3 linked regions of the Arabidopsis thaliana genome follow. The protein of the gene in region 1 purifies or fractionates together with the protein of each later gene. This does not show direct contact. Each region holds a gene or a part of one and is shown on either strand. Other genes may lie near its edges.

Region 1 (4,077 bases):
TGATTAAAATTTGGATTCTGATCATAAACACCAAATGGATTTATCACTAGAGAATAACTTTACTGGTCAGCATCACTAGATAGAAAATTACTGGAGAAGATATTAACCTGATTTGGTCGCTGGATTGAAGAGATAATAGGCTTCAAAGACGAGAAATCATTGATTAGTCAAGGAGAGTTGAAAACATCGAGATAATTGGAAAGGAATAAGAACTCACTTCAACAACAGATGTTGGTGTCATGGCATTTGTAGCTCCCGAAGATTCTCCAGGTTCAATATGTGATTGATTTATGGTTTTGTTTTTGTGGTGATAAAGTTCTTTAAGATATTGATCAATGTACTTACACAAATCTTCACGGTTTCTATCAGTCAAATTAAGCTTCTCCCCTTTTCCACTAAGAAGTTGGAACATGGCTTCTTTCATCGTCCTCTCCGCATTATCGATCATCTTTTTGTTGTTACTCTCCATAGTTTTTGAGATGTTTTGTCTGATAAAACCTTCGTGGCTCACCATTTTCTTCTCTTGCTCCAACTTTGTCAACATCTCAAAATTTTCCATTACATTTTTAACTTCTGAATTCGATGGCCAGACTTCAGGGTTTGAGTTGAACGGACTATAAATCACTGCACATGCTTCGATTCCGCAGAGAACGGAAAGCTCGTGGATTTTTTTCACAAGCCCTTTCTTTCTCTTATTGAATGTTGCTTTTCTCATTGACTCATTGGTGATGTAAGATAGGTTTAGCTTCTTCCTCGTCATGGTAATGACAACAATAAAAAGGAATTTGTATGTCTAGTATCAAATATGTTTTGTATTGTTGTATGTTGTGTATTGTTTTTATCATGAGTTTGTTTATATGGAACAATCAACTGTTCAAGTGATGATCTCACAAATAGCTGGCAATTAAAAATATTGTAATTAAATGCACCAAAGTTCTTAATTAATATGAAATAATGCATAGTTATGCCACTTGGTACAAATAACAAAAATTATTGGCCAAAGTTTTTGAGTTGGCTACATCAAGATTACATCATAAATTCTGGTTATGAATGAATAATATGAGAACAATAAAAGAACTTTCCATTTAGATGATGAAGATATATATATTGTAATTAAATTTAGAGATTGTTTTCTATGTAAGTATGTACATCAAAATACAAATTATAAATATTTATTATTTTAGTTTGAATAACAGCTAATATGTACATTCAATAAAATTATTTACCTTTCGTGGACAATAGGACTAATAACTAGATTTAGAAAATGTATTCAATACATTGCATCTTCTCTAATGATTTATATTTGGATATGATAAAATACTTTTTGGTATTCAACTAATTTTACAGGTTGTCAAGTATATTACGTAAGATTTTGTAAAAAAAAAATTATTCTTTTAAATAAGATTTACTAGTACTAAAGGTATTTAACTGGTTGTAAACTTGTAGTGTTCTAGTAATATTGAAAATAAACATATTCTTCGTAAAAAATGATCAAACATTCTCAGATATATGAATGATCAAATCCAAAAAGAGATATGTTTATATCCAACATGTATATATCATAATTAAAAAAGTTTTAATATAATCCATCGTTTCAATACTTTTAAGAATTAAGATATCGAGATTAGTGACATCATATGATCTCTTCATAACTTTCGTAGATTGGATAAGTAAAAACAAACCCGTTATTTGGGCTTTTAATCTTAAAGCCCAATTTATTTCTCGGGCCAAAATCAATGAAACACGTCCGTCTCTTTTTCTCCTTCGTTTCGTTTCGTCACGCTCTTTCCCAAGTCCGATCCTCTCGCCATTGCCAGCAAAATTTCTTTCCCGGTTAAGAATTTTTCTATTTCGATTTCATCGTTCGGCTACACCATCGATCTTCACACTTATTTTTTAGGTATGTTCTTGTTGATCTTGTTTTTCGGACTTTGTAATGTGGTACCAGTTTTAGATAATTAGTTCTTGATAATTACGCTCAAATTCCGTTGCTTGGCACTGATTTATTCTGCGTTCGGTACTGATGATCGTTCTTCATTCTCATTCCGATGATTCTGTGGAGTTCACTGATCTAAGTTTGATTTTGGCATACCAGTTGTTCGATTAAATGCCTGAAAGAGAAAACATTCAATTCGTAAATTTCATATTTTGTCTTTGTTTTGGTTTATGATATTTTTATCTAATCTTAAGGCTTAACTTTCAAATACGTCTTGTATACGTGTTGCACAGAAGAGTTATACCTTGAGTTTTTGTTTGTGTAGTCTTTTGTTAGTAGTCTCTAATTTTACGAGTCTGTAACCATCTTTAGGCTTATAACAGGGTTTTTGAAACTGATTGAAGGTTTTTATTTATCCAGGAGGAAGCTATGAAAGTCAAGATCTTGCGTATCCTTTTGTTGCTTCATCTCTTCTTAGCTTTTTTGGGGGAAAGTTTATATTAGGTTAAGTGATAAATCATCCCAGGACTTTTGATGGTGATCATCTGATATGATAATAAACATCTTAAGTCTGTTTATCGTGTATTAGCTTTACCGAGTTAGATTCCCAGCTTGATGATTCATAATAACTTTTTGCATCTTCCATTGGTTTATTTAATAGACTAGGTTTGTTCAAAATGCCTGCATTTCGCTTTGTTGCACAAGTAAAAGAAGAAAAACGAAATTGTTGCTCTTGACTTTCTATGCTACTTCTGTCCTGCATACCCAAAAAAAAAACAGAGTAGGTTCCTCGTCCCTTTAGCTTTAACACATGAGCTCTTACAATGCGGAGTTTCTATTGTTGTAACTGATTGTTTCTCCCTGGAATAGATGGCATGCAGTTGCTTCATGGACATGGGATGCTCAAGACGAAACATGTGGGATATGTCGGATGGCTTTTGATGGTTGTTGTCCTGATTGCAAACTTCCTGGAGATGATTGCCCTCTAAGTAAAGTTCTCTTCTTTCATGTCTTCGCTTTTATATATGTTGCTTAGAACACCCACTATTTCTCTTGCTTACGGAAACATTGCTAAACATTTACTTATGGTAATAACTCAAAACAAAACTGCATGCCTTAGACCTTATCTGTTTTGGTGTTTTGGTGTTTGGGCAGTTTGGGGAGCCTGCAACCACGCGTTTCATCTTCACTGTATATTGAAATGGGTGAATTCGCAGACGAGCCAAGCTCATTGCCCAATGTGCAGAAGAGAATGGCAGTTCAAAGAGTAAGCAAGTTATGAGGAGGATTAGTCTGCAGCTCTCGTCATAGGGGATGTTTTGGAATGATCTCGTGTAGTTGTATTTGGACCGTTAGTGTTGAGTATGATCATCTGCTGAAACGCAAGATAGAGCTTTAGTAATGTTTTTGAAGCTTGTCCTTGGTTTGATTGCTTGGACAAAGTAGAGATCAAGCAACTTTTTGTGAGCTTCATCATCTATATGGTCTTTGTTTGTAGTTAATACTTTTTTTTTTTTTTTTGTATCACGTCGCCTTTGAATTGGTTAATATATGATTGGTTCTTAGTTAATTTTTCATTACTATATTAAAACGAAAAACAATATACATTTTGAATTTACGTTGATGAATCGACCGTTTGGTTAGTGACTCATAATTTTCAGTTCAAAATAAATTCTATAGTCAAATTCAGTTGAATTTTTTCTTTTTTTAATCACAAGAGATACATTCATTAGTATGAGTCTATACTAATCTGCAGAAGGAAAGTCCCTAAAGTCTAAACATTCAATTGATTTAATTCGATGATTGAAATAAGATATAGTATTAAGTAGTCATATCAAAATTGAGTTATAAGTTATAACAACCGGTGGGTGTGAGTACGCAGTGATCCTCGTGGGTATCGCTAATGGTGCCAAGTAATGGGGCCAATTTATTGGTGATGAAATGATAGCGTAAGGTATAAGGTATAATGGTTAATGGTGGTCCTGTGATCCACCAAGGCAACACAATTTCCAATTTATTGTAATAAACCAACTATATTTTTAAAAAATCTTCACACAAAGTACAAACCAACGCTCTCTTCTTTTATATCAACACAACATTTATATAACAATGCAAACACAACAGTGATGATTAATTAAATT
Region 2 (4,760 bases), on another chromosome or scaffold:
AGTATAACCAAATATTGCATCATCAAAAAACATTTATGTGCTGTTGAGACAACAAGAAAGAAATAATATAGGTCCCGATATAAAGAAAGACTGGCTTGAAGCAGAAATAAAGTTACAAGGAATATCTACAAAATGATGAGTTCATTTACCCCAGGTTCCTCTAGTGGATCTCTTAGAATCAGATGGGAAGACATGCATGGCATATCTCTTTTGCTAATAAGGTCATGCGCGACTGGGGAATGGAAGTTTTGTGGTGAACTATTCCCAACTTCTTTTCTTTGGCGCAGCATCTCACGAGAACCAAGGATGGGGCTAACAGGAGAAAATGGAACATGTGAGGGTGGATTCACTTCACCAGCTTGCTCAAGAAGTAGACCACATGGTAGAGGCCATATTGATTTGACAGTACGCATTAGTGGAACAGATACAACTTCGCCTGTTGCCAACAATTGCCAAAAATCAGAAAGTAATTACCTCAGCTAGTGTTACCTCAGAAAAGAGACAAACAGTACTGATTAATCAGATCTAGTCAACAAGTAAAAAGGAATACGCAATATATTTCCAAGAGCAGATGAAAGGAAACTAGAAATAGAACGGCTAAAAGTTAATCAATCAACTTGAACGTTCAAAAAGCTATCAATGCACAGAAAGCTACCTGAAATCTATTCTTCATAAACCGATTCCATAAATTTTCATTTGTAATTACACAATTTCAAATGAATCATAAAGAAAGGGACCAACTATGTGCACCAGTATGAGATTGTCCTTTCGTTAGAAGCAAACCATATAAGAATCCATTAGGGTATAATGGAAAAAGTCGGATAGTGCAGAAATATTATAGTTCAGAGGTATCTAGCCACAATTACCTGATGTGTTGTAGATTGTTAAGCAAGCAATTTGTAATACACAAAGAAAAGCTTCTGTCCCTCGACCAAGGTTGCTCCAGCATGCCTATGACATAAAAAAGCTATGAGTTAAAACAGTCTTTCTGACGCATCAAATAGATGGAAAATATTTTTGTCTATGTTTTTGTTAATTCATGTGGAACAGATAACGTATCCACCAATACAACAGAAAAGCATTGTTAAGACATAGCTAGATTTGTTTAATCAAGGATTGTCACAGATAAGAATCCATAGATTTTCAAACGGGAAAACTTGAGAGACAAAGAGCCAAAATTCTAATGGAAATCACCTTAATGACGGCAGAAGACAAGGTAAAACGCTTGAGGACCCGCGAACCGCTTGTCCAGATTATGCTATCATCAAATCAAAATTTCATCGTCAGGTACAGAAACGAACCGCAATTCAGCTAGATACGTTATACCAATATCCAATGAAATTAGCTTCTACTAAAGCATAACCCTTACGGACATTACTGGAAGAAAGAGGCAAACTTGAAGAATAGGAAAACACATTCGAAATTGAAGTGATAACAAATTCATGAAGTGGTGCAGAGTTATAGAGTAATCAGCAAATTGTATACATTTCTTACCAGTTGTCTCGGATGAAGAGCTCGTGCTCTCTCTGCCGCGAGAAGTTGGCATCATTGCCATCAGCATCATCTCGCTCGCCAGTGAGCTCAGGATCGAAGAGGAAATACTGATAGGAATCATCCGGTGATTTACCATCAGTAGCTTCGGCGATTAGACCGAAAGGTTTAAACTTTCCGAGGACGGTAAGTTGGCGAACCCCTGGAGGCATTTTTTCTCCGAAGCCAACAGGCAATGGAGATTGGTGAAGTTTAATTTACACTCTCCCGCTCTTTCCAAGTTGTCTTAGCGCTTAAACCCTAGTCTTTTCTATTTTCAAAATTTTATTTGAGATTCTCATTTCTCTTTAAACCTGCGGGTCGAAATCGTTTTATGAAAAGTAAGCGAGACAGAGGAAGATAACATTGAAGAAGAAGAAGAAGAAGAAGAAGAAGAAGTGAGTAGGAAGAATTGTCACTTACATTAGAAACCGGATAGAGAGGTTTCAAACGAGTTCCGATGATTGTCGAGGCTCTAAACTGAACGGAATGAAGAAAGTGAGGTTCAAAAAAGTATCGAAAGTCGGAAGATTTCGCTTAGTGAAAGAGAGATGTTCTCAGAGGAATTTAATCAAACACTTTCTGTGCTAGATGCAATGAAATCTGGGACGAAGTCTGAGCTTATGAAAGACAAAATTTAAACATTGGAAAGAAGTAAAACTTGAAGGCTTAAAATGAAATAAAACTAAAATATTTCCAACTATTTGCTATTGACCCAATCTGTCACTTTTAGAGGTTTATTTATGTAATCTTTTTAGTTTGAGGTTTGTTTTGGGATAAATGAAAAATTATGAGGTTTTTTTTAACAGTTTAATCATAAGTACTAACGAGACCAAAGAGATTGGTTCGGTCTTAACGGATAATCGCCGTTGGGACCAAAACGCTCCAATACGGTCAGTGACGTCACCGCCGGTCATCAATGTCAGGCCACACTTATCCTCTTCTCTCCCATTCCGGTTTCCTCCCACCAAAAAAAAAAAACTTCTTTTTATGTTTTGTTTGTTTCTATTCCGATCTTATCCTACGCCGTCACTCTCCTCCCGGTGCGCACATTAGCAACACTACTCCCGACGAATGGAGACGACGACGCCGCAGTCAAAATCAAGTGTGTCCCACCGACCGCCGTTGGGAAGAGAAGACTGGTGGAGTGAGGAAGCGACGGCGACGCTGGTAGAAGCCTGGGGCAATCGTTACGTCAAGCTGAACCACGGAAATCTCCGGCAGAATGACTGGAAAGACGTCGCCGACGCCGTTAACTCTAGACACGGTGATAACAGCCGTAAGAAGACCGACTTACAGTGTAAGAACCGGGTCGATACTTTGAAGAAGAAGTACAAAACAGAGAAAGCTAAACTCTCGCCGTCGACTTGGCGTTTCTATAACCGCCTCGATGTTCTAATCGGTCCCGTTGTGAAGAAATCGGCTGGCGGAGTTGTCAAATCAGCGCCTTTTAAGAATCATCTGAATCCAACTGGATCGAACTCTACTGGAAGCTCTCTTGAAGATGATGATGAGGATGATGATGAGGTTGGTGATTGGGAATTCGTTGCTAGGAAGCATCCTCGTGTGGAAGAGGTAGATCTGAGTGAAGGATCAACGTGTAGGGAACTAGCTACGGCGATTCTCAAGTTTGGAGAAGTTTACGAGAGAATTGAAGGGAAGAAGCAACAGATGATGATTGAGTTGGAGAAGCAGAGAATGGAAGTGACAAAGGAGGTAGAGTTAAAACGAATGAACATGTTGATGGAGATGCAGTTAGAGATTGAGAAATCAAAGCACCGGAAACGCGCAAGTGCTTCAGGTAAGAAGAACTCACATTAGGTTTTCAAGTTACTAGTGGTGGCTTAGACTTTACATGGTTGTTACTCTTTCTCTTTAAACCGCATAATGTATCCGTGGAAGGACCTTAGATTTCAACAACAATGTTATACCTATGCTGTTAGTTGTTGTAAGCATGGATGAGGCTGGTTAGTAATTGACTTATTGTTGATATGTGAAAGTCATGTGCCTCTCTGCTTTTGAAGAATACCAATTTTGTCAATATACAATTCAGTTGAGCTTCTGTGCTTCCAGTGGTCTGGCAAGGAAAAGTCTAGATAGCATTCTCTTACTTCTTTAGCTTCTCCAGCTTCGTGGAATGTTGAACTGGATTAGGAGGAGTAGACTTCCAGGTTTGAAATTGAGAAAAAAGATCAATGTTCATAGTAGTCGAACATTCTTCATATGGTAATGAGTTCACTGAAGTTTGATCTGCCTTTATTGTACAGGTAAGCAATTGTAGAATTAGATTGGTGGAGGAAATACCATGGTGAAGCAAAGAGGAGTTACTTGAATCTGAAGCTCATTGAAATTGGAGGATCCTGTTACTTGTTTTAATCTGTAGGATGGAAGTTAGAGAACTCTTTAGGATGTCTTTGTTTGTTTTCTTCTACTTTCTAGCGTGTTAGTGTACATTGGTGTACTGGAGCAAATCTTCCTTAACTCTTTAGTAGCTGACAAGTATGATCTACATTTGTGTTAGTGTCCACGTATAATGATGGCTTGTGTATCCAAACTACAGCTTCTGATGCTTAACAGTTACATGTTTATGCTTCTTCTTGGGCTTTTTCATGTCTAAATTTTTATCATAACCACTTATCATAAGATATATATAATACATCCACAAGTATGCAGTTGCATCCGAGTATCTTAAATCAATAGTCTCTGAGTTCTTTAACCTTTAAATTGGCAAAATACTATCCAAGGTTCATTAAGGGCATCAACGATGACCAAACACAAACTAGAGTCACAGTGAAAGCAATTTTCAAGAATCCGGACCAATTATCATCTTATCATTTTGCTTTGAGTTCTTGATTTTCCTTGATATTATCTTCTTCGTTTGACATTGCTTCTCTGTTTTCGTCTGGACAATGGTTTACACCTGCGTCTATCTCTGGTCCCTTTAGAATGATTTTCTCTCTTCCGTTTCTTAGAACTCGCATTATTCTCCTCTGCTATGACTTCCCCAACCAAATCATCTTCGACCATTTTACGAACGAGAACATATAATCTAGGTTCTGATGAACTCGGCTCTAGAAAGATCTGTTTTTGTGACAACCCCCTCGAATCCTGTAAGAGAAATACATAGAAACTTGTTATATCACCACCATCTGTGAAATAACCAAAGATATGATGCTAAATTACCTTTCCAAAGTCTCCAGCAATGTTTTCAAATGCTTGATTTGCTTCTT
Region 3 (4,943 bases), on another chromosome or scaffold:
TCCAGACGGTAGCCGGAGAACAAGCTGGCCTCCGAAAACGCTGTAAAGAAAAATGTTGAAACTTTTGAGATATATACAAAGAGCTAAATAGCTAAACTGTTGAAGTGAAGGACTAATGCGTACCTTTTGACGTAGTAGTAACAGAAATCTGCCAAGATGAAAGTTTGAACAATTTCTGAGATCAGAACCATTGATGGCCACAATCCATAACCCAATGCTACAAGCAACCGTCCCCGCGTGTCCACAACCTATTTTCAGCACATTAGACAATGTATTCAGCTATTCAAAATCGACTTTTAAGGTACTAATCCAATCGAGTATAGGAATCACCACTATTGGTATAACCTCTATCCACTCTTGAAGATCAAAACTAACCTGTAAAACCCAGTGGGCACAGCTGAGGAACCTTGCTACTCCAAGTGCAAAAACATAATGAGCCGTGAACGGTTCAACAATCTGAAAACCAAATAGACGCGGATTAGAGAGTAAAACAAATGTAGTTCTCTACTTGACATTGTGAAATAAAGTAGTGACCTTTGTGTTCTGCATCACTCGTAGCTGAGGTAGTACTGAAACAGCTTCAAGGTATACACATAAAGCCCATGAAATTCTGTTTATTATGTTATGAGAGGTCGATGGATGGATGAACACAGCTAATGCAACACAGGGCGCAAGCTGCAAAAATTGAAATCAGATCATTGTCACTGTAAATGATAACAAACAACTCGAGGATCAAAACCAGATTGACTTACCACATAATAGAGAGGAAAGTTGTCTTTGTCCTCCATGTAACTAGCTCTTAACTTGAAACGAATCATAAATATAACCCAGAGAGTTGTTCCCAAAGTAGCCAAGTCAAGAATGGTATGTATATCATATTCCATTACAATGCTACAATACAGCCTAACAGCTAAAAATATCGCCGTAAGCTCCTGAGATTTCAGTGACAATCCTGCAAAATCATTCACAAAGTTATATAAACACATCGAAGGTAAACACTTTCGATTTAAAAAAAGAACCATAGAATGCATCTTAAACCCTAAATTGCCAATTGAATCCTTGATTATAAAGATGATGATTCTACGAATTACGGCTAAAGGCTGCTTCCGGGAGCAGATAATAGTGGTAAACCAATGAAATCCTGATCAAAGCTCGAAAATTTGGACGCGATTATGAGGAAAAACAAAAAAGTTGTGACGTTGAAAAGTAATTTTGCTAAGAACAGAGGAATACATACGATCAGAAGCTGATAAGGCAGGACTGAGTTGAAAAACCCTAAAAATGGATGTGATAAAGACAAGACACATAGAATAGTACCGGCACAGGTCTTCTCCTTCATGAGTTTGTAGATGAGCACACAGATCCCGATGGAATGAACAGCCTCAGCGGCAACGAAGAGATTGTCGTGATCGTGAACAATGAATCTGAGAAGAACCAAAGCCGCCATGCCAGTGACCACGGCGAGAAAAGCCTTCACCTTCGGAGGTTGTCTCCTAACCCATGACCACACCACGTGGATCGGAGTCTTCGTCGTCGCCTTCATGTTTTGCTTTTTTTCGCTTTTCTTCTTCTTCTGTCTCTGATTTTCTCGGCAAAAGTGAAAAAGGTAACTTCTGATCGAGAGAGATTAAAAAGTCTGGTTTTGGTTGACTTGAATGTAAATTACCAAATCACCCCTTCCACACATCTCTTACTCTTAAATACTAAATGAGCCGTGACTGAATCCATAAATTAGGCCCATAATCGTATCTATTGTTTTTCTAAAAGGCCCATGAATGCCTTCGTATATATATGTTCGTTCGGTTAATCGTCTTTCTTACCAACCTCACCCGACGACGGTGATTTTAGGGATTTTCGTGTTCGTCAAGGCTCGCACTGAGGTTTTAGGGTTTTGCTCCTCGGCGATTTTGCTGGGCCTTTGGATTTGAAATCTGAAGCTATGTGGAACATTGATGGTACGTCCTTAGCTCCTCCTGGTACCGACGGTTCGAGGATGCAGACACCTTCACATCCCGCTGATCATCCTTCTTACACGGCGCCTTCTAATCGGAATACTCCGACGGTTCCTACTCCCGAGGATGCAGAGGCGAAGCTTGAGAAGAAGGCGAGAACATGGATGCAGCTAAATTCCAAACGGTACGGCGACAAGAGGAAGTTTGGGTTCGTGGAAACTCAGAAGGAGGACATGCCACCTGAGCACGTTAGGAAAATCATCAGGCGAGTTTCTAATTTTTCAATTTCGATTTCGAAATCCAGTTGACTGGGAAACGAATCTGGTCCAATTTCTTTGTATTATTAGGTTTGGGTTAAGTTAGATTGAAACTGACTCTGCGTTTTGATTCAGGGATCATGGTGATATGTCATCAAAGAAACATCGACTTGATAAACGTGTATATCTTGGAGCACTTAAGTTCGTTCCTCACGCAGTTTTCAAGCTCCTGGAGAATATGCCTATGCCCTGGGAACAGGTAATTATTCACTTAGTGATCTATATCTCGCTTTAGTTGTTCTCCTGCTCTGCTCAAAATTTTGAACTCAGATATTTTCCAGGTCCGGGACGTGAAGGTCTTGTACCACATCACTGGAGCTATTACATTTGTGAACGAAGTACGATGGGTTGTGGAACCTATTTACATGGCTCAGGTGGGTGAATAATCTCCCTCTCTCTTCTTTTGTGTCTGTGCATTTGTGAATTTGTGAGACATGTTTTCTAGTGATGATTCTTTCGTTTGCAGTGGGGTTCTATGTGGATAATGATGAGAAGGGAGAAGAGGGATCGTCGTCATTTCAAGAGAATGCGGTTTCCACCATTTGATGATGAGGAGCCCCCTCTAGACTATGCTGATAACCTGTTGGACGTTGATCCTCTAGAGGCAATTCAGTTGGAGCTAGATGAAGAAGAAGATTCTGCTGTGTACTCTTGGTTTTACGACCACAAGCCACTTGTAAAAACAAAAATGATCAATGGTCCAAGTTACCAGACGTGGAATCTCTCACTTCCAATTATGTCAACCCTTCACAGGCTTGCAGCCCAGTTGTTGTCTGATTTGGTTGATCGCAACTACTTCTACTTGTTTGACATGCCATCATTCTTTACTGCAAAGGCACTGAACATGTGCATACCAGGTAACGCTATACTCTATGTTCTCCTGTTCTGATATCTTCGTTTTCACAGTTGTTGTCCTTCTGTTCTCTTTCCCTGATTCAATTTGGTACTCTTTTTCAGGCGGTCCTAAGTTTGAGCCTTTGCATCGTGATATGGAGAAAGGAGATGAAGACTGGAATGAATTTAATGACATCAACAAGCTTATAATTCGATCCCCTCTGCGAACTGAGTACAAAGTAGCTTTCCCACATCTGTACAATAATAGGCCCAGGAAAGTAAAACTCTGTGTCTATCACACTCCTATGGTTATGTACATAAAGACTGAGGATCCTGACCTTCCTGCCTTTTATTATGATCCATTAATTCACCCCATAAGTAACTCTAATAACACTAATAAAGAACAGCGCAAAAGTAATGGTTATGATGATGATGGGGATGACTTTGTGTTACCAGAAGGACTGGAACCTTTGCTAAATAACTCGCCACTCTACACTGACACTACAGCTCCTGGCATTTCATTGTTGTTTGCCCCTCGGCCTTTCAATATGAGGTCTGGGAGGACTCGGCGGGCTGAAGATATACCCCTTGTTGCAGAGTGGTTTAAGGAGCACTGGTAAGCTAATTTTTCTGATGCTACTGTGGTTCTCTTTCCCCTTTTGAAATTTACTAGACATTGTATTAACTTCTTAGTTATCTCATTTTCTGCAGTCCTCCAGCATATCCTGTCAAAGTTCGGGTTAGTTACCAGAAGCTTTTGAAATGTTATCTACTGAATGAGCTGCACCATAGACCCCCTAAGGCTCAGAAGAAGAAGCATTTGTTTCGATCTCTTGCAGCTACAAAGTTTTTTCAGAGCACCGAACTGGATTGGGTTGAAGTGGGTCTGCAAGTCTGCCGGCAGGGGTATAATATGCTGAACCTGTTGATTCACAGGAAGAATTTGAACTACCTGCACCTTGATTATAACTTCAACCTCAAGCCTGTGAAAACTCTGACAACCAAGGAACGAAAGAAGTCGCGTTTTGGAAATGCTTTCCATCTCTGCCGTGAGATCCTCCGGCTGACAAAACTTGTAGTTGATGCAAATGTCCAGTTCCGACTTGGTAATGTTGATGCCTTTCAATTGGCTGATGGCCTGCAATATATTTTCTCCCATGTTGGGCAATTGACAGGTATGTATCGTTATAAGTACAGGCTTATGAGACAAATCAGGATGTGCAAGGATTTGAAACACTTGATCTATTACCGTTTCAATACTGGTCCTGTGGGTAAAGGACCAGGGTGTGGATTTTGGGCTCCAATGTGGAGGGTATGGTTGTTTTTCCTTCGCGGAATAGTTCCTCTTCTAGAACGATGGTTAGGGAATCTGCTTGCACGTCAATTTGAGGGGCGTCACTCAAAGGGAGTGGCCAAAACAGTCACAAAACAGAGAGTTGAAAGCCATTTTGATTTGGAGCTTCGAGCTGCTGTCATGCATGATGTTGTTGATGCAATGCCAGGTTCGCTTCTTGCGTCTATAACTGATTTGTTTTTCTCAAGGTCGATTTCCTTTAATTTTATCTCTTCCTTGTTGGTTTATACTGTCTTCTAATGTGCAGAGGGTATTAAGCAAAATAAGGCGCGGACGATATTGCAGCACCTTAGTGAGGCATGGCGGTGTTGGAAAGCTAATATACCATGGAAGGTCCCTGGATTACCTGTGGCAATTGAGAATATGATCCTCCGATATGTCAAGTCTAAAGCTGATTGGTGGACAAATGTTGCTCACTACAATCGTGAACGTATCAGAAGAGGGGCTACTGTTGATAAGACAGTTTGTAGAAAGAATCTTGGACGG

The links.
Region 2: the proteins of APC11 (region 1) and EMB2771 purify together in Arabidopsis thaliana (affinity purification with mass spectrometry, with the first as the bait; one large-scale study listed by BioGRID). This does not show direct contact.
Region 3: the proteins of APC11 (region 1) and AT4G38780 purify together in Arabidopsis thaliana (affinity purification with mass spectrometry, with the first as the bait; one large-scale study listed by BioGRID). This does not show direct contact.

The regions. Positions count from the first base shown.
Region 1 is NC_003074.8:1,751,596-1,755,672, forward strand, and holds APC11 (anaphase-promoting complex/cyclosome 11), read left to right. Parts: upstream 1-1,693; 5' UTR 1,694-1,900; exon of another isoform or gene 1,901-2,356; 5' UTR 2,357-2,365; coding exon of another isoform or gene 2,366-2,394; 5' UTR 2,395-2,679; coding exon 2,680-2,717; intron 2,718-2,804; coding exon of another isoform or gene 2,805-2,806; coding exon 2,807-2,925; intron 2,926-3,091; coding exon 3,092-3,207; 3' UTR 3,208-3,546; downstream 3,547-4,077. Other genes in the region: AT3G05860 (MADS-box transcription factor family protein), read right to left, coding at 1-17, 108-140, 218-760. UniProt on the Arabidopsis thaliana protein: Component of the anaphase promoting complex/cyclosome (APC/C), a cell cycle-regulated E3 ubiquitin-protein ligase complex that controls progression through mitosis and the G1 phase of the cell cycle.
Region 2 is NC_003076.8:1,638,395-1,643,154, reverse strand, and holds the start of EMB2771 (E3 ubiquitin ligase), read right to left. Parts: upstream 2,605-4,760; 5' UTR 1,954-2,604; intron 1,845-1,953; 5' UTR 1,704-1,844; coding exon 1,495-1,703; intron 1,259-1,494; coding exon 1,195-1,258; intron 952-1,194; coding exon 867-951; intron 437-866; coding exon 150-436; intron 1-149. Other genes in the region: AT5G05550 (sequence-specific DNA binding transcription factor), read left to right, coding at 2,605-3,331, 3,604-3,626; SDN2 (small RNA degrading nuclease 2), read right to left, coding at 4,396-4,638, 4,714-4,760.
Region 3 is NC_003075.7:18,108,026-18,112,968, reverse strand, and holds the start of AT4G38780 (pre-mRNA-processing-splicing factor-like protein), read left to right. Parts: upstream 1-1,928; 5' UTR 1,929-1,939; coding exon 1,940-2,136; intron 2,137-2,344; coding exon 2,345-2,468; intron 2,469-2,550; coding exon 2,551-2,643; intron 2,644-2,735; coding exon 2,736-3,126; intron 3,127-3,226; coding exon 3,227-3,719; intron 3,720-3,814; coding exon 3,815-4,605; intron 4,606-4,704; coding exon 4,705-4,943. Other genes in the region: AT4G38790 (ER lumen protein retaining receptor family protein), read right to left, coding at 1-40, 124-248, 376-456, 535-675, 753-952, 1,318-1,543; AT4G38781 (uncharacterized protein), read left to right, coding at 1,776-1,928. UniProt on the Arabidopsis thaliana protein: Functions as a scaffold that mediates the ordered assembly of spliceosomal proteins and snRNAs. Required for the assembly of the U4/U6-U5 tri-snRNP complex.